Drosophila melanogaster: one gene and its partners. The gene in region 3 interacts genetically with the main gene of each other region. Each region holds a gene or a part of one and is shown on either strand. Other genes may lie near its edges. The genes, in order: SNF4Agamma, Nep1 and Bace.

Region 1 (3,754 bases), on a different chromosome or scaffold from region 3:
CGACTTCTAGTAGTTGTATCCGCAGATCAAAGTTCGACATTTCCTGATTGCCAACTTCAGTAGCTATCTTTTTTTAATTTCTGGGCATTCGCTTGAAGTGTGCTTACTTAATTAGTCAATGTCTAAAATGTAGTAGGCATCGTGATAGGGTACTTTTACATTTAAAGAAATCCACTCACGATTTTATAACCATAACTTCAAATGAGTTTCGACAAAAAAAAGTCGTATGAAGAATTCAGGTAAGACCCTTTGAATTGTTTTATGTTATTATATTTTACATTGCCTGATTTAATACTGTTATTCCTGTTATTGATACTGTTATACACTATCTATTACATAATTGATCGCTTTTATTAAATGTTTTCTAAATATAAAAAAATTTAATAAAATTGTTTACACATTCTGAAAATCTAATTATGAAAAAATTTTGGGCGATTTTGGGTATTTTCCCAGCGTCGCCGCGAACTGGGGGAATTTCCCACCCACTCAACTTAGTCACCGACACAAAAGGCAGATGAAAAGTTTCGGGGAAAATCAAACGTCAAGCGCTCATATCAACACAAAAAGAAAATAAAGGCAGTGAAGTAAATCAGGTTTTCGATAATTATAAAAAGAAAATAAATTGTCACCCACCTTTTGTGTGTTTTTATCAGTAATTGGATGTTTCTGATTCGCGCTGGCAGATTGCAGAATCACAATTGTCGAATTTCGGTTAAAAAATTAATTTCACGGACACAGGAACGCATACACACATCCGCACATTCACGTACACACTAACACACATTCACGTTCACCTGAACGGGTGGAAAACAAAACTTTTGTAAACAATTTCGCGATTAGGCATTTAGCTGCGCTAAGAAATTATTGTAAATAAGAAGAGACGTAACGAATTAGCTGGTTGTGTTGGCGCATTATATGTTATATATATGTTATGAGTGTATATTCAGAGATTAGAGCGAAATTATAATGACGACTTTTCGCTGGATGTCCAAACACTTTCGAGGTGTTGACTTTTCAGATTAGATTACAGCACTCATTTCACTCGGCTAATTATCAGCCATTTGGTTCAACACCAAATAAATCACAAAACACGAAAACACCAGCAACAACAACCGAATCGATCTTAATAAAAGCAAAGAATGCGAGCCATAAAAATCAAGAATCAAAATGAAAATTTATTCGGGCGCGCGCTTCCACTTTGGACTCGACTTTCCAATTGGAACACGCAGTGATCGGACAATGGAAGGGGTGAGAAGAAGAAGAGGAGCAGCAGGACGTTGTTGTGTTTGCCACTTTTTATTAAGAATCTAAACCATTACTGCGCGAAACACAGCTAGAAACTGACACAAGGAACAAAAACAGAAGAATAGCAAATCTGGGCAAATAAAAGTATTTGTCCGTGGAAAATTTCCAAAACGTTTCTGTCGCTCTTTCCAGCGACGCCATGTGTTTGTTTGTATGCGTAACAGCTGATCGCCGATTATTGATTTTTTATAGGGATGTACATATGCACACATGTGTGTGTATGCATGGGCAGGAAAAGTGATTAGAGGCTATTGTTTTGTGTAACAAGAAAGAAGTTTCACAATTCACTTGCGCACTCAAAAGAACAAAGATCGATTGTCCGTTGTTGCCGTTGTTGTCACTGCAATTTCTGCAATCCATTCGCGCACAATTAAAAGCTGTTCACGCAGCTTATCACAGAAGAATTTTATGGCTAAGCCACCCACTGGCGCGGACATGCTATCCTGACACCATGCCGGAATTTTCTCTCAATTAAATTATTTATTATAAATTAGTAAGAATTTAAGAACATTTAATTTGCTTTGTTTTTCACTGCACTCCCGTTTTTTAACGCGAATTAAAAGTTTTTCCCAACCTCGTAATCCGCTGCGTTTTCACCAAGCAAAGTTCGCAACCTAACTCACGATTGTGGTCATCGTTATCGTTTGCGAAATCCAGCAGAAAAGGTCTTACTCTTCGCCTATCGTTATCGCTAGAGATCTTTTTACAATCCAGTTGGAATTAGCGTGACCACAACTGTAACGTTGTTTTAGTATTTTTCTATAACTCGTTGTTTGCAATTTTACTGAAATATGTGCATTTAAATAGTAAATTCTTAAGTGCCCACTCGCGTAAGTAAATACGCACATATATCTACTTATTTATTCAATAAACAAGAATCATTGAGAATTCTTTAGTTGCGTAGAAGTTATTTTAAATAAAATGCGCTTTGCTACTTTCCGGCGGCGGTCACACTTAAAAAACAACGCGTTGCCAGATCGGACCGTGTTCGCAATAGCAATCAGTTTTTGTCATGCACCGCCGCTTTAGGCGCCAAAATGATATAAGTTTGAATTGCAAAAATTGCTCCGCTCTGTAAATCACGCCGAACATACAAAATAGAAAACATTTTAGCTATAAAAAAAACTTTAGCTTTTATAAAAAAAGCTATAAAAGCTATAAAAAAAACTTTAGCTAGCTTTAGCTAAAAAAAATTAAACTTATGTACATAAGCATATTCCTATTTCCATCATAGTGCTGGAAATTAGATTTTATGCCCCATAAATAATCATAACCAGTTGCCTTGGCATGCCTTTCACACTTTCGGAGCCCACCCAAACTCTTTGAAACTTCAGCTAAGCCAACAAAAATCAATAAAAATGGCGCATTGCACAGAGGCCACCGAGGAGCACACAATGACGCCACCAGAAACAGCAAAATACTTGAAATCGGAGTCGATGAATTTGCCACCATTCACGAACTTCATTTAGACCATTCCAAATAGGTCCAAGGACGCAATAAATACATTTGAAGTACTCTCGAAAATAAGTTTCCTCGATGCTCAGGGTTTTTTGCTAGCTCGATCAATCAATCCCAGCCGAGGAACTGGGAACACTCACCTGCTCGATGTCGAAGTCCCATTCGGGCGATGGAGAACGCGCTGTTCGGCCGCCCGGCGGAGGCGTTCCCAATGCGGGGGAACCGGCTTGGGGCTCTTCGGGAATCACGGCGAAGCGACCCCGCTGGAGGATTGGCGAAATGGCGCCATAATTAGCTGCAAAGGCGAAAGAAGGGGTCAGTATTCAGCACCATGCATTTATTATCGAGAATTTGACCAAAAGATATCAATTACTATTAGCATAACTGTAATGATTAATGTCGTATACTTTATATAAACTCAAATTGTAAAGGCGAAAAAGTACCAAATCAACTTACACGTGGGCATGAGACGAAAGCGGCCGAGCGTCGTTTCGGGCGGGCCCTGTGGCGTGGAGGAGGTGACACGGAAGCGTCCTCGGCGGGCGGCGGCCACGTCCTCGTAGTTGCTGCCCCCCGACGCTCCGCCGGCACTGCTCTGCATCCTGTGGCTGATGCTTCCTTGTCGGCCTCGCCGAAAACTGCAATGGAGTGTGAGAAAAATCAAATCAATATTGCGCACAGGTGGCAAAGTTCTTGTTTCCTTTGACTAAAACAACTGAAACTCAATTAAGCCAATGGCATTAGAGTATATTGATCTTTGATGGAACTATATAAAACATTTTCCGTAAATTCTCTAATATAAAAAACTTAGCAAAACTTAGATATAAAGACGCTTTTATGAACACTAAAATTAACCAATCAAAACAATTAAAACAAATGGTCATTGATTTATATATCTTGCATTATACATACCTAATTTTATATAGACTTTACTTGAACGAATTTTAACTAATAGTTTCAACTCAACTACAGCTAACATTTCCTAACATTA
Region 2 (3,754 bases), on a different chromosome or scaffold from region 3:
ACTACCCCCGTCAAAAACCCCATCCACAGGCACAGCCCCCATCCAAAACAAAAGAAAAACACCCACATTTGTGTAATTACTTTGTGACACTTTTTTTTTTGGCCACTCGATGCGGCAGGTAATCGCGGAAATTGCGTTGCCCATTCGATTTCGCTGATTGATAGGATACCTGTCCACTGTCCACAAATTCTCAACCGATCATATATGGGCGGCTTGGTGGAATCTCGCCCGAAATTCGGTGGGGAGTGTGTGGATTCCCCCGCCCTTTAACGTAACCAAGCCACCCTCACCCTACGAACAAAGAAAAGCCATCATTTGATCGATTTTCGTTAGCTGATTGCCATCCTAGCTCACAAAAATAGATTGAAAGTTTCCAAACACGCGCTTTAAGCTCCAAAAAAAGAAATGGGCGCCCAACAGGTGGCGTGAATACACGGCGAGAAAAGTGGCGTGCTTTCAAGTTATCAACTAATTTAATTGGCCCAATAAATAAATAGCTAAACATGTTTACATAAAGATAATTTTTATGAGCTCAGGGCATCTGTCGTAAATGCTTAAATTACCATGCACATGCTTACTAGCATTTTATTATTTTCCCAGGCCAAGTCAATAAGTTAAGTTGATAGTAGCAGTAAGCAGTGATAAGAGGTTTTCAGTTAAAAAGTGCAAATGCACTAAAAGTCTAAAAATGAAAGGTGGCTTATAGAAAATTTAATTACTTTTCAGGCGCTTGATTTTTTCCAGTGCAGTAGCGTGTGTTCCTACCACAAATCAAAGTTAGGCACTTCCAATGTTCCGGCTCCTGCTCCCATACATAAATTCCCAAATGGACAACTACTCCCAGCTACCGGTTACCTGGAACTTTAGTTTTGGCGCAAAACTTTTGGCATGTGCGTTTCAGCTATTCCTTTTTTCACTATTGACATTTGCGGATTGTGGCTCCTTGGGCGCCATATGGCAGCCAAAAAGCAACGAGGAGAACCTCGATAAGCACAAATTTTAACCGAAACTCTTAGGAACAAAAACTGAGTGACCACACGAAACGAATTCAGGGGTGTTAATTATTTATTGCAATTTTAAGTTGTGTGTAAGTTTCTCGTTTTATTCTTGGACAGGATATTCAAAATGCTTCCCTTGCCAACGCTTATTCCTTTTGCGTGTTTGGCGTGCGACTAAACCATTTTTTAATCGCTTAGTTTGCCGGGCCGGTTAAAACAGAGCTTTTTGAGGCAGAAAGCTCGATTGGGCGAAGTGAACACTTGTTGAGTGGCAATGCGCTGATTTAGGCACCTGCAAATCTAACTAAATTTATTATAAAATAGTGTTAATAAAGCTTCCTGAAATGAGTAATCAACCAAGCACTTACAACTGATGCCATCGAAGATGCTATTTAAAAATACCGCCAACTGGCGGTGGAAACGGGTTTTTTTTGGCTGCCCCATGTGTTAGGGCTGCCAGCTGAGCTGATAGCCTTGCCACCTTGCGCGACTAGCACACTTGTCAATTTGTTTTTCTTTCGTGTTTATTATTTCCTAGATTTCTTTTGAGCTGGCATTTCGTTCTGTTTTTCACGTTTTAACCCCGTTTTTCGGTAAACCTCGTTTCTAATCTCGTGACAAGTTTTTCCACCGCCCGGAAAGATGCTAAGCCAATTTTACTGCTTGTTTTTGTTGCTCCTCCACTTCTTCGTGGGCGTGACGTTGTCTGAAGAGGGGGAGTGCCGCCGCCTTAATCGCGCAGATATCGAGGGCAGACTGTCCACAAAGACGCCCTACAGAGCGATCGCAAATTATGACGAAACGCCACCGAAATACGCCGGTTTGTATTTTTGTTGTTTTCTGTGTAACGCACCCACAGTAGGCACCCGCTTAGAAATACAAACATGTGTTGTGCCATGTGACAGTTAACAGCGCTCGCTTAATACAGTGAATTCATAATCATGAAAGCATATGGATTCTTTATTGATCATAAAACAGAGAATCGCTTTAGATTTGTTATTATACTATTACTAGTTTATTATTACCGATGCCTACTGCTAGCAAATGGCAATGGAACAGCTGATTTTTCTCTTTTAACCGTTTCACCCGACAAGGCTGCCATCCGACGCGAATTTGGACCATCATCCGACACGGAACTAGAAATCCTAGCGAATCCGTTATCCTTCAGGCGCAAAATCGACTATCAGAGATAAAGAAACGCATTCTGGATCAGACGAAGCCGCCGATCTGCACCGCTGAATTGGAAAAGCTGCGCCAATGGCACTGGATGCATCTGAATGCCACTGAAGATGAGAAATTACTGGTGGCCGAGGGTGAGGATGAGCTGATTGAGCTGGCGGAACGGATGCAGCGGCGATTTCCGGATCTACTTCCGGAGTTGTACAATCCGGAGTGGTACTACTTCAAGTATACTGCGACCCAGAGAACGCTGAAAAGTGCGGAAAGCTTCGCTACGGGTTTGTTCGGCCGTCATCGCATCCATACTGTACGATATCCGCCGCCTTTGCACGAGGATCCTGTTTTGCGGGTGAGCAGTCCTTTAGTTTTTTCTGTCAATGTAACCAAAACAAACTTTTGAATTACGCGCTACAAATGAGCTTGTAATGATCTGGCAACGCCATTCATTACAGCTAGGCCATTTCGCTGTTAGTTTATTATCGATATCAATGTTGTAAACCGCTTGCCAGCGTGCAATCGAAAAAATCATCGATTTTTGTTCCAGCTCTATTTTCTGCGCAATTCTTTTCGTATAATATAATTCGATTAAACATAAATAAATAAACCCAAGCGAAAGTAAATAAACCTGTTAATGCGCACCATCTTCCGTCGGAGATCGCTCGCTATAGTTGTACGGTTTTTATTTTGTCCCGGCATCGACCTAATCAGCCCAGGCGGCGTGTTTTCCCCGAGTTCTTTTTACCCGTTTTCGGGAAATGGTCCGCGATCCGTAGGCGGAAAACGTGGAGAAGAGGAACGTGGAAAGAAAAGCAGAAAAGCGCGGAGCGGAGCTGAGGAGGCGCTGGCGGTGGTGGAGGTGCGGAAAGTGCGAAAAGTGTTTGGGGTTATGTGCTAGAGTCCCCTCGGGGGGATTTTTAGCTGATTGAATCCGCGACCGAGACGTAATCGCTCCGGGAAATCGCTCGCATTGAGCTGCACCCTCTCCTCGGCAAACGGAAAAAGAAAAAAAGCAATACAGCGAGAAACGAGAGAAACAAAAAGCACGCAGAACATGACAAGTGCCGTTCGCGCTAAGTCCGCCGCTGCCGCAGTCGGCGTCGCAGTCGACGAAAGCAGCGGCAGCAGCAACGGCAGCGTCGCGGATCAAGAGGTGGCCTCCAGCAAGGAGGCCGTCCTGAGCGTCCTAATCCGCAAGAGATACGAGAAATATGTATTCGCCCCGTGGGACGATCCGATAATCTTGATAATGGAGCAACTGGAGCACATCGAGCACTGTCGATCCGCCGCCTTGGGGAACCAGGTGGCCATCGGCCGGGACCCATCTCAGGACGACTCTCTGAACGACCTGGGTAAGGTGATTAGCAACATGAGGCAGGACCAATCACTGGTACCAATCGTGAAGCACATCGAGCAAATATCCGACATTCAGGCCTCCAACGGCCAGGAACTGGCCTCCCTCGGTTCTTTGAGGGAGCTAATCCGGACTATCAGAAAGGAATGGCCCCGGGACGACTCTATCAAACTGCGGTTGAAGGAAATACAGATCCTGGGCATGCCGCCCGCTCGGAGCTTATGCT
Region 3 (3,754 bases):
CAGTTGCAAAACTATAGACCCGCACAATTCTCTGACATCACTGGCTATCCTTTGACACCCCGGCAGTATACCTGACATCTGTGGCATTCCCCCGGGCTACCAGAGTCCCCACTTGACACCCGGTGACACACATCATTGCCCGGCCAACAGGCTGGACAAATGAATTGGCTCCCGGAGCTGATGGCTTCTGTCATTGCCTTCATAACACCATCTCCTTTGGGTCCGGAGTCAACATTTATCCCACAGCCAGCTGGGAATTTGCGGACTACCGGATAACACATTTGGATAACCACTTCAGTCTCCTTAAGTGTCAATAAATAAATAAATGGAGTGGTATTTCTACGTAAACGATAGCTTAAATTATATATACTTTATACATTCTCGAACAATTTACAGAAAGTCCAATGTGTAATTCATTTATTATATGAAATGCAGATAAGCATAAATAGCCATGACTGTAAAACGCAATTGGAGTCGCTTACTCACAACCTATCCACTTACAAAGTTGTAAACAGATTAGATTGTTACACCTTCAGCCTTCGAAAGGTGACCCACTTGAGGTGACCCAGACATTTGGTAGAAAATTCTAAGAGCTCGTTTCTTTATTGATTCGTAATTGCGGATCGTTAATTAGGCGACTGGGGCGAAGCCAATGCGGTTGTTGCCCAAATCGAACTCGGTGTAGTACTGGCCAATGAAGACATCGCCCAGAATCCAGAAGTCGGTGCCCATGTACTCGAAGGCGGACATACAGTTGCCGTCCGACTGGATGATGTAGGCCGAGGGCTTCAGGACGAAGTTGGTGCCACCGATGTTGAAGGTGACATCGGGCAGGGAGCTGACGCTTGAGCAGTCCAGATAGCCATCCTCACCCACGTTCAGGATCTCGGAGAGGGTAATGTAAGCATTGTAGGGAGCCACGATCAGGGAGGTGCCGGTATCGGCAATAGCCTGGCAATCATCACACAGCGAGTAACCGTCAATGGAGGATCCAGCCATGGTGAACTGCCAGTAGCCCTGCTCCGAGATGGGAACGTAGGTCAGAGCGCCAGAGTACAGAGAGGCATCGGAGCCACCGAAGATGAGTTCACCACCCATAGTGGAGGTGCCATCGCGGGCCAGATAGAACGAGAAGACGGAGTTGTCGACCAGACCCTGGGACACCATGTTGTAGAACGGAGGAGCCACACCATCCACGGCCAGGGACTCATAGGCCATACCGAGAATGCCATCGAAGTTGGCATCGTTGAAGTTGGTGCCCGGCTCGTTGGTGGATTCAGCAAAGGTCTGGCTCTGGATGCTCAGGCCATTGACGTCGACGGTATCGGTGGACAGGTAGCCAGTTAGGCTGCCAGTGCCATACTGGATGGAGAAGGATTCGCCGTTGGCCACGTAGGTGGAGCTGGCGCTGGAGTCGTACTGGTTGTGGGTCAGGCAGGCATCGCTCTTGCAGGTGTTCGATGGCACCCACAGGTTCGAGGAGCCTGAGTCGAACAGAACCTTGAAGCTCTGAGCGGGAGTTCCGATGGAGATGGCTCCGTAGTAAGCCATATTCATCGAGTTGGACAGCTGTTCCTCATCCACGCTGCGAAGCGAGGGCAGCTGGTACTTGGTGCGCAGATAGGATTTCTCGGCCAAAACATTCTGACGCGTCTTCACAAAGTTCTGCTCCTTGAGGATCGGCACGCGATGGAGCTCGGCACTGGCCAGGGCTGCCAGGAGCACTACTACAGCGATGGTCTTGAACATTCTCTTGGTTTCTAGTCTACTCGAGTTCGACTAACTGACGATCGGTGTAGCGGGTCTAATTTATAGCACTTGCCATCAATCACAGCCCAAATTGTCCGGTGATAAGATTTGTTGACCACTCCAGTCTTAAGCAGTATGAGTTCTTAATGCTCGTCCGGCATTCGATATTTATAATCTGGCATATTATCATTTCAGGTGTGAGGTGATATTTCGATCTTTTCGATAGCGTTCTCAAGAAGTGAATCCTAAATTCCAATACGCAGCTGGACTTTGTTATGATTGGACATTTTGAGTGACTTTGATAGTGCTTACATTACGCGATAATAATAAGTGACTCTTCATGGTAATTTGTTTTAATATCATTGCATGATTAAGCTCACAGATAAGCCAATAAATTAGAGATAGCGATAAGTGTGTTAGGGTTTTAGGGTAAAACCATGCATTTGGGAAATTCACCAGGCATATTGGGCAAAACCCCTGCTTAGCAAAAAGCCAAATCATTTAGTAACTAAGGATGATGATATAATTGCTCGAGCATTAACTCACATTACCAGAATGAATTTGTTTTCAATTGGTTAATTTAAGGAAACGTGGGAATTTGATCGTTTTCAGCCAAGAGGAAACGCATTCACCTCGGCTTAAATTCCCTTCCAATCAAGTGGTTACACTCGAGCACTTTCACCAGCTATTTGCTCGGTCATATAAAAATATAAATTTCGTTTTAGCAGATAAAAAAGCAAATGCAGGTCCGGCGGCAGTCATCTTCTTGCCATGGCTCCTACTACCATTAAGCTTAAGACCCTATTGAAATCAGATTTAAAATCAAATAAAATGCCACTTCAATTGGCCAAGAAGGACAAAGGAGATTCATGGTTTCGATTGCGTTTTATTGCCAGCGCAGGGACTGTTTGCACATGTGGGATGGTGGGATGTTGAGCAGTAATGTGAGGATTTCTGGGTGGTGATTCTGTGTGGTGGTCAGCCACAGGTTAATTGTGGTCCAGAGCATCCGCTCTTATCGCCGAGGGCTAGTAACACACGAACAGACAAGGGGCCAAAATGGAGGTGTCCACGGGCGAGTGCGTTGCGCACTTTCGACCCAAAATAAAGTAATCAACGGATTTTACGCACCGTCGGGCAATTTCGGTAACCATACTGGTAACTGGGCACACGGGGCGTATGATTACCGAGCGACGTGGGCCGCCTGCTTTTTGTTTCTCGCATTCCTGCGTTGACATTTCATGTGCAATTATTAGGCTGCTCAAATAGCGCCCATGCCCAGTCCCCTTCAACCGTTTATCAATCATTTTTTGATTTATGGCCCAACGCGAGTGGATTGAACTGGAGTTGATTGTAGTCGGCAAATACATAAATAAAGTATACGCCCGGGGTGGCTGACCAACTAACCGAACAACTCACCGAATTGTGTGCGCTTGTATGAATTTCGATTTATTTTTATTTGCTGTGCGTGGACATGGCTTAAAGGCTTAGACCGAGATGCAAATAATATTTAACCAAAAATAATCAGCAAACATTCACAATTGGTAAATATATTTCATACAGCACAGAGGCAGAGCCAGAAAACAAATAAATTGCTATTATGGATAGTATCCGGTTCGGTCAGTGAGCATTTGCCTCCGAGTAATCAATAGGTGGGCGATTCGTTCAGGCAGGAGCACCCACTACTCATCCTTCTTCTACTCCACATCGAATTCTTTCCGCCGATTGCATTTTCACAGCTTGCTCGATCTCCGATGCACCCACTCGTGGTTTATGAGCCTCGGAGTCAGTCAAGTGCCAGGCGATTAATCGAGCAAGATATTGATGTTTCAAATCAACACTAGCCAGCGAACTTTGGCCTATAAGCACATTAAATATAACCCGACTGCGATGACAGATAAATTAAACAAGTGAAAATAGTTCAGTTAATGTTTTCAGTTAAATGAATTGTCGGGGAAAAGAACATTTGCTAGGGCTCATAAATGGAATACTAATTCTGATTGCT

The links.
Region 1: of Bace (region 3) and SNF4Agamma, changing one enhances a phenotype caused by changing the other (phenotypic enhancement), as found in Drosophila melanogaster (one study listed by BioGRID).
Region 2: of Bace (region 3) and Nep1, changing one enhances a phenotype caused by changing the other (phenotypic enhancement), as found in Drosophila melanogaster (one study listed by BioGRID).

Annotation. Positions count from the first base shown.
Region 1 is NT_033777.3:21,154,537-21,158,290, reverse strand, and holds the start of SNF4Agamma (SNF4/AMP-activated protein kinase gamma subunit), read right to left. Parts: upstream 1,930-3,754; 5' UTR 1,880-1,929; intron 854-1,879; exon of another isoform or gene 795-853; 5' UTR 634-794; intron 1-633.
Region 2 is NC_004354.4:6,089,181-6,092,934, reverse strand, and holds the start of Nep1 (neprilysin 1), read right to left. Parts: upstream 1,641-3,754; 5' UTR 1,367-1,640; intron 1,303-1,366; 5' UTR 720-1,302; intron 1-719. Other genes in the region: raptor, read left to right, coding at 3,229-3,754; Mipp2 (multiple inositol polyphosphate phosphatase 2), read left to right, coding at 1,641-1,818, 2,093-2,526. UniProt on the Drosophila melanogaster protein: Metalloendoprotease which functions in fertility and memory formation. Required in the dorsal paired medial neurons and alpha/beta mushroom body neurons for the proper formation of long-term and middle-term memories.
Region 3 is NT_033779.5:8,494,520-8,498,273, forward strand, and holds Bace (beta-site APP-cleaving enzyme), read right to left. Parts: upstream 1,789-3,754; 5' UTR 1,750-1,788; coding exon 631-1,749; 3' UTR 374-630; downstream 1-373.